Macaca mulatta: one gene and its partner. Each later gene encodes a partner of the first gene's protein in a complex. Links are inferred from orthologs where the notes say so. Each region holds a gene or a part of one and is shown on either strand. Other genes may lie near its edges. The genes, in order: TNPO3 and CIRBP.

Region 1 (3,805 bases):
GAGGCTACGAGTAAAATCCCAGGCCTTTTCTCCCTTTCTGTCACACTCAAGAAAACAGGTGAATAAAAGTGACATGAAGCTGAATCAGTTATGTTCAGGAGTTACAGATGATTTTGAATCTCAAACATTCAATGCAGTGATTTCAGAAGTTTCAGAAAAATACTTTAAAAAAGACTTCTGGCCAGGCACGGTGACTCACGCCTGTCAGCACCTTGGGAGGCCGAGGCAGGCAGATCATAAGGTCAGCAGTTTGAGGCCAGCCTGACCAACATGGTGAAACCCCGTCTCTACTAAAAATACAAAAATTAGCTGTATTTTTTGTATTTGATGGCACGGGCCTGTAATCCAGCTACTCAGGAGGCTGAGGCAGGAGAATCACTTGAACCCAGGAGGTGGAGGTTGCAGTGAGCCAAGATCGCGCCACTGTACTCCAGCCTGGGCGATGGAGCAAGACTCCATCTCAAAATAAATAAATAAATGAATAAAAAAGACTTCTGGCTGGGCATAGTGGTTCATACCTCTAATGAGGTTCATACCTCTTTAACACTTTTGGCGGCTGAGGTGGGAGGATTGCTTGAGCCCAGGAGTTCGAGACCAGCCTGGGCAACATTGGAAGACCTTGTCTCTACAGAAAATTTCAAAAATTAGCTGGGTGTGCTGGCGCACACCTCTCATCCCAGCTACTCAGGAGGCTGAATGGGAGGATCGCTTGAGCCCAGGAGTTCGAGGCTGCCATGAGCCATGATTACACCACTGCACTCCAGCCTAGATGGCAGAGCAAGACCCTGTCTCTGCAGAAAAATTTTTAAAATTAGCCAGACATGGTGGCAAGTGCCTGTAGTCCTCCTAGCTACTCAGGAGGCTGTGTGGAAGAATCGCTTGAGCCCAGAAGTTCAAGGCTGCAGTGAGCTATGATTGTGCCCCACTGCACTCCAGCCTAGGTGACCCTGTCTCTAAAGAAAAAATATATATCTTTTGAGACAGGGTCTCACTCTGTTGCCCAGGCTGTAATGCTGTGGTGCGATCACAGCTCACTGTAGCCTCAGCCTCCTGGGCCCAGGTGATCCTCCAACCTCAGCCTCCTGAGTAGCTGAGAATACAGGCATGCGCCACCTACATGCCTGGCTAATTTTTGTATTTTTTTGTAGAGATGGTGTTTTGCACCTGGCTGAAATTTGTTTTAAGTAAAATAAAATTGGAAGCGGTGGCTCATGCCTGTAGTCCCAGCACTTTGGGAGACCTAGGTGGGAGGATTACTTGAGGGCAGGAATTCAAAACCATCCTGGGCAAGATGGCGAGACCCTGTTTCTACTAAAAAAAAAAAAAAAAAAAAAATTAGCTGAGCTTGGTGGTGTGTACCTGTAGTCCCAGCTACTTGGGAGGCTGAGGCAAGAGGATCGCTTGAGCCCAGGAGTTAGAGGCAGCAGTGAGATGTGCTTGTGCCACTGCACTCTAGCTGGGGCAACAGAATGAAACTCTGTCTCTAAAAAATAAATAAAAATAAAGACTTCCATGTCTGTTATCGTTTTCTCTAAATTCAAAATTCAGTGTACTTTTGGAGGCATTACCTCAGGACTAAATGGAATGTAAAGCCAGTCATTCTAAATGGAGATTTGGGCCTAACATGGGAAGACAATTTGGGGAGATAAATAGTAAATCTGCTAGAGAAAAGGTGACTTCTTAACTGACTCCACTCATATTATTTAAAAATATATCTTTCTTCCTATATGGTCATGGTGATAATAAAATGTCTTCTTATTCTATTCCTTTCCCATTCAAATAAATCATCTCTGTTAACCTAACAGGTAGTAGAAATTTCATTTAACTTTTGGTACCGACTCGGGGAGCATTTGTACAAAACTAATGATGAAGTTATTCATGGCATCTTCAAAGCTTACATTCAGAGGCTGCTTCATGCCTTGGCTCGACACTGCCAGCTGGAACCAGACCATGTAAGTTCCCTTCTCTACCTCTTCAAATCTTAATTTCTTCCTCTTGTCAGTGCCAACTTGAAAAGGAACTGAGAAGATAGATAATAAACCTGGCTGGGTACCCTGGCTCATGTCTGTAGTCCCAGCACTTTGGGAGGCCAAGGTGGATGGATTGCTAGAGGCCAGGAGTTCAAGACCAGCCCGGGCAACATAGAGAGACCCCTGTCTCTACAAAAAGAAATAAAAAAAAAATTAGCTGGGCCTAGTGGCACACGCCTGTAGTCCTAGCTACTCAGGAGGCTGAGGTGGGAGGATTGGCAGGTTTTGTCACTCTACAGCTTATACTGAAGAAGTCAGTACCAGTATAATCTGTTAGGCCTGTTTAGGAAAAAACAAAAACAAACAAACAAAAAACACTCCAGCTAAACCAGTAATTCTTTTCCTAGGAATTTATCTTAAATCTGCAGAAGAAAAAACAGCTATTTTATATACAAAATGTTATCTATAAAAGTAAAAATTATAAACCCATATACAGCAGTATAATAAGAGTTATATGAACTATATAAGAAGAGTTATGATTTAGCAACTTGATGGAGCAATTAAAAGGTAGTGAAATGATGGTATGGTAAGAGAAAAATCAGAATGTAAAATTTTGTACTCTTTTTTTTTTGAGAGGGAGTCTTGCTCTGTCGCCCAGGCTGGAGTACAGTGGCGCCATCTCGGCTCACTGCAAACTCTACCTCCCAGGTTCACGCCATTCTCCTGTCTCAGCCTCTTGAGTAGCTGGGACTATAGGTGCCCGCCACCACGCCCGGCTAATTTTTTGTATATTTAGTAGAGACGGAGTTTCACCATGTTAGCCAGGGTGGTCTCAATCTCCTGACCTTGTGATCCACCCACCATGGCCTCCCAAAGTGCTGGGATTACAGGCGTGAGCCACCACGCCCAACCAAAATTTTGACTCTTATTAATAGTAGAAAGTAAGTGGTTAGATGAAAACTAATACAAAAGTGAAATATTTGTGTGTATGATTTTGCCCCACGAACATACACATTTTAAAAATCTTATTTATACTCATTTTATAGTTTAAAAGAATATAGAAATCTATTTGTTTAGAAAAAAATACTAGAAATATTATTAGTTTATTAGAAAACTCTTCAAACATCATGCTTAATCTCTTCAAATTTTGCCACATTTATTTCATCCTGTTGGTTGGTTGAATCCGTCCTTTAATTTAGGACCTGCAGTAAGTTTTATTGCTTACAATTAAATCCCACGTGCTATTCTCTTAATTTTAATGTTAGTATTTTGTTTGAGTCATGGTATTTTGTATCTCCACACAACCTTAGTCATGATCTAGTCTAGTGGTTTTCAGACTGCACCCACCACTCGGAGGCCGAGGTGGGTGGATCACTTGAGGTCAGGAGTTTGAGACCAGCCTGGCCAACATGGCAAAACCCTTTCTCTACTAAAAATAGAAAAATTAGCCGGGCATGGTGCCGGGTGCCTGTAATCCCAGCTACACAGGAGACTGAGGCAGGAGAATCACTTGATCCCAGGAGGTGGAGGTTGCAGTGAGCCAAGATTGTGCTACTGCACTCCAGCCTGGGCAATAGAGCCAGACTCAGTCTCAAAAAAAATAAAATAAAGTGACGACTCCTGTCTTCAGCTACATTTTATTTGGAAGCCTGATTTATAAAGCAGGGCCCCTTTTGTTTAAATGGCTTTGTGCTTAATCCCTTTTTTGCCTTCGCTGAATCTGTGGCACCATTTCCCTTGTGGGTAATTTCTTACATTTGTAAGTGTATAGTGCTTTATAATTTGTATAGTGCTTTATAATGTTAGCCATTATCTCATCTGAGATAGCCATCATA
Region 2 (4,353 bases), on another chromosome or scaffold:
TGGCTACCCCCACTTCGATCCACTTGAGGGTGGGAGTGAGTCTGAGGCCAGGAGTGGGACCGGGATTTCCCTGAGGTGAGCCGCAAAACGGGGGTCTCTGTACCCCAACTCCCCCCAGCTTGTGAGCAGAGGGTCAGCCCTCCTGAGACTTTCTGGGGCAGAGAGGCAGGGGTCCACGCTGGTTTCTTCCACCAGGGCCGGGGGAGGGGGCAGCATGAGATGAGGCCTGGGTGAGGAGCAAGTGGTGGCCATAGAGGGCTCCCCAGAGGCTTTGGGGCCAACGAAGAGTAGGGAGTGAGGGTCCTTGCATAGCTGGTTCTCCAGATGGCGGAGGCTTTGAGACTTCCCTCTGTCAGCCAGGCTCAGTAGGGGAGGTCTGTGGAAGGAGAGAAAAGGCCTGGGTAGAGGAGCAGAGTGGGCCCGGCCCGGCGTGGGGAGCGAGTGCGCATTGGGTGTGCAGCACGGTGGGAGGGGAGGCCGAGGGCCGGGCTGAGTGCTGGGGTGCAGTGGGGACTCGGGGTGTTCGCCTGCACCCGACAGCAGGGACGCACAACACTATCTGGCCAGGCGAGTGTGGGGGTGTGGGCGATGCACCCAGCCGTGAAGTCGCGGTTCCAGTGGGAGTTAGGCTTAGGTGCGGGTTGGAGTTTGTAGGCAAACTGGATTGCGTAAAGTTGGGGTGCACCAAAGTGTGGCGAAGTAGGAACAACTGGGATTGCGAATGTTGGGGTTCGCATGAATGGGGTTGTCTTTGTTGGGGTTTGGGTGGGCATGGGGTTGATGGCAGGAATGGAGTGCTGGGGTGCTGGGAAAACTGGGACGTCGGTTGTAGTGGCAAGAATATCACGACAGGTATCGGGGTTCAGATGAAGTTGGGATGTCTGACAGCCGGGGCTTGGTTGGGTAGGGGATCTGGGCTAGGTTATGTCGGGACTGCTGGAGCACAGGCAAAGTCGGGGTCCTAGTGACACCCAGAGGTCCCCATGAGGCCGGAGGCCTCGGAACCGGGGCTAGAGGCCCATTTGTTGCCCGCCGCGGGCCAGGGAGAGGGCACGCGGAACTGGGTCAGCCCCGCCCCGCCGCGCGCTGGCCACGCCCCCCCGAGCGCGGGCAGGGGACTGCGGACTGGAAACGTCCCGGCCAATCGTCTAGCCCGACACCAGCGCGTGGGAGGAGGCGGAGCCGAGATAGACCCGGCCCCCAGCTCATGAATATGAGACGCAGGAGCGGCCTCTGATTGGTCCGGGAGGTGCAGGGGGCGGGGCCCGGCGGCGGTGTATATAATGCCGGGCGCCGGGGCGCCCCCCCTCACTCGCGCGTTAGGAGGCTCGGGTCGTTGTGGTGTGCTGTCTTCCCGCTTGCGTCAGGGACCTACCCGACTCAGTGGTGAGGGCCCTGGCGGCACCGGCTCCGAGGAACTCGGGGCGGCGGGCGGCCTGCGGCGGCCAGGCGAGGCGGGGCCGCAGCGGCACGCCCCTGGGAGGGGGCGGTGCCGGGGCGGGCCCGGGGTGGAGTCCGCCCCGCCGGCGGCGAGGGGCAGCGGGAGATTGGGCCGAGTAGCGGCCAGAGGGCCTCTCCCCGCCGGCCCGGGCCGCCAGCGACCGGCTTGCCGCCGCAAAATGGCGGCCGCCAGCTCGAGGCTGTGCCCAGCGAAATGGCGGGAGCACCGAGTGCCCGGATGGAGTGGCGCAGGGCGCGCACGGGGCGCATGCGCACGCGGCGGGGGCGGGGCCACGTGGCGCGCCCGGTCTCCAGGGCCGGTTTCCCTGCCATGGGGCTGGAGGTATCCATAAACCAAAGCTTTTGTTTTCTGAGCCTCATTTTTCTCCTTTTCCCATTGTGATTGCATGAGGGAAAGGACGGCCTCGCAAATCCTGGGTAGGCATGGCCCGTTCCAGTGTGATTCCTCGTCTGCCACGTCGTGCTTTGCGCCCAAACTTTGGTCCAAGTTGGCACAGCCCCCAGTGCCAGACTTCCAAGTCTAGTTATCAGCGCCACTGGGTGGTGGCCATTCCCAGCCAATGAATGCTTTGTCTGTGTCAGCACTGACTGCGCCCTTAAATAGCCAGTTCTCCTGAATGCCATTTCTCCTGTCTGGAAATCCTGCCTCATCATTTCCGGGGCCATCGCTTCCCGATTCCCGGCAGAGGTCCTGTCTGTAAAAGTTAGTGCCTGCCCCGAGGTGCCCCCCAGCACGGGGCGGCCTCCCTGACAGCCAGCCCCCCCCCAGTCTCGGGGAATTTTACAGTGAACAGAAGCACGTTCTGGTCCAGCAACAAGTAGAAGTCAACTGGTTAGGGTTGGAGTTGGCACCAGTTCGTAAAGGGGAGAGAAGCTGAGGGTGCAGTCCTGCCCACGGCACGACTGGAAGATTCGGGGCTAGAGGGGGAGACACCGGAGGCCCTGTCCCATGGGGAGGACCGTGGACATGGGTGCGGCCTGCTTTTAGTCTGGGGGGTGGAGGGAGCTGAGAAGCGGACTGTATTCAGTGTGGTAAATCAGTTTGAATTAAGTCTTAGGTAGCTGAGTGCGGTGGGTTATACCTGTAATCCCAAAACTCTGGGTGGCCAAGGTGGGAGGATTGCTTGAGCCCAGGAGTGAGTTTTTTTTTTTTTTTTTTTTTTTTTTTTGAGACAAGAGTTCCATCCAGTCTTGTTGCTCAGGCTGGAGTGCAATGGCGTGATCCCGGCTTACCGCAACCTCCGCCTCCCGGATTCAAGTGATTCTCCTGCCTCAGCCTCCCGAGTAGCTGGGATTACAGGCATGCACCACCGTGTCTGGCTTACTTTGTGTTTTTAGTGGAGATGGGGTTTCTTCATGTTGGTCAGGCTGGTCTCGAACTCCCGACCTCAGGTGATCGGCCCGTCTCGGCCTCCCAAAGTGCTGGGATTACAGGTGTGAGCCACTGCACCCAGCCGAGCCCAGGAGTTTCAGACCAGCCTGGGCAACAGAGCGAGACCCCATCTCTACTAAAACAAATTAAAAAGAAAAAATTAGCCAGGCGTGGTGGTGCACATCTATAGTCCCAGTTTCTTGGGAGACTGAGGTAGGAGAATTGCTTAGACTAGGAGGTGGAGGCTGCAGTGACCCATGATTGCACCACTGCACTCCAGCCTGGGTGACAGCTTAAGTCCTAGGTACGAGTTTCCGACAATGAAAAACAATAACCTGATTTTCTAATATTTCCCCTAAAAAACACATGTCATTTACATAAAATAGGAAGCGGGGAGAGGTGGTGAGAGATGACCCCTGTTGAGGATTTCATTGGTGTCTGCCACAGGCCGCCATGGCATCAGACGAAGGCAAGCTTTTTGTTGGAGGGCTGAGTTTTGACACCAATGAGCAGTCACTGGAGCAGGTCTTCTCAAAATACGGACAGATCTCTGAAGGTGAGGCTGGTGCTGGGCCGGCGGCCCGGGTGGGGCTGGCTTGTGCTCCTCCTGACTGTAGGTACAGCTGGGTGCTGACTGCAGACCTCTCTCCCCTGCACAGTGGTGGTTGTGAAAGACAGGGAGACCCAGAGATCTCGGGGATTTGGGTTTGTCACCTTTGAGAACATTGACGACGCCAAGGATGCCATGATGGCCATGAACGGGAAGGTGAGGATCAGGGTGTTGAGCGGGAGCCCCATCCTGAGGATGGGGCACCCACCCACTAACCTGTGCCATCCGCTGGTCTCCAGTCTGTAGATGGGCGACAGATCCGAGTAGACCAGGCAGGCAAGTCGTCAGACAACCGATCCCGTGGGTACCGTGGTGGCTCTGCCGGGGGCCGGGGCTTCTTCCGTGGGGGCCGAGGACGGGGCCGTGGGTTCTCTAGAGGTGAGTGCCGTGAGTTGGCCCTTTGGGGATGCTGTGAGGCACTGCTGGTGGGAGCTGGTACTCACTTCTTCCTGTATGCAGGAGGAGGGGACCGAGGCTATGGGGGGAACCGGTTCGAGTCCAGGAGTGGGGGCTACGGTGGCTCCAGAGACTACTATAGCAGGTGAGGGGTGAAGACCAACCCGGGCACAGGGGTGATGGTGGGATGGCCAGCTTCAGTCCCAGGTCCCTGGGGGAGCTGAGATGAGGCTGGCTGGCCAAGGAGCAGAGGCGGGAGGGGGCCCAGGCCAAGAGGAGAAGAAACTGCTGAAGACAGTGGCAGAAGCGGGAAGGCCAGGGGGGCATGGCTGGTGCAGGTTTTGGACGATTTCTGAGACTCTACCCTGCTGGGGTCCTTGCGTCCCCAGAAGGGACAGCTGGCATGGGGGCTGACGGCTCAGCCTGCTGTGGCAGAGCAAAAGTAGACTGGTATCCTCCGGTACTCATGTCTGTCTATCCTGCAGCCGGAGTCAGAGTGGTGGCTACAGTGACC

Evidence for each region.
Region 2: the proteins of TNPO3 (region 1) and CIRBP are in contact, whole or in part, in a crystal structure (PDB 8CMK), measured with the Homo sapiens proteins. The link is inferred for Macaca mulatta from reciprocal best matches to the Homo sapiens genes TNPO3 and CIRBP. Residues at the interface, in NP_036602.1 of Homo sapiens: Arg620, Glu660, Arg661, Cys663, Arg664, Arg667, Phe668, Arg671, Ser698, Cys699, Tyr702, Ser705, Ile706, Asp709, Glu710, Asp747, Asp750, Asp751, Arg754, Arg758; in NP_001271.1 of Homo sapiens: Tyr160, Arg161, Ser163, Tyr164, Asp165, Ser166, Tyr167, Ala168.

The regions. Positions count from the first base shown.
Region 1 is NC_133408.1:168,632,821-168,636,625, reverse strand, and holds part of TNPO3 (transportin-3), read left to right. Parts: intron 1-1,805; coding exon 1,806-1,952; intron 1,953-3,530; exon of another isoform or gene 3,531-3,805. UniProt on the Homo sapiens protein: Importin, which transports target proteins into the nucleus. Specifically mediates the nuclear import of splicing factor serine/arginine (SR) proteins, such as RBM4, SFRS1 and SFRS2, by recognizing phosphorylated SR domains.
Region 2 is NC_133424.1:1,940,248-1,944,600, forward strand, and holds the start of CIRBP (cold-inducible RNA-binding protein), read left to right. Parts: upstream 1-1,326; 5' UTR 1,327-1,386; intron 1,387-3,280; 5' UTR 3,281-3,286; coding exon 3,287-3,389; intron 3,390-3,492; coding exon 3,493-3,599; intron 3,600-3,682; coding exon 3,683-3,821; intron 3,822-3,902; coding exon 3,903-3,984; intron 3,985-4,324; coding exon 4,325-4,353. UniProt on the Homo sapiens protein: Cold-inducible mRNA binding protein that plays a protective role in the genotoxic stress response by stabilizing transcripts of genes involved in cell survival. Acts as a translational activator.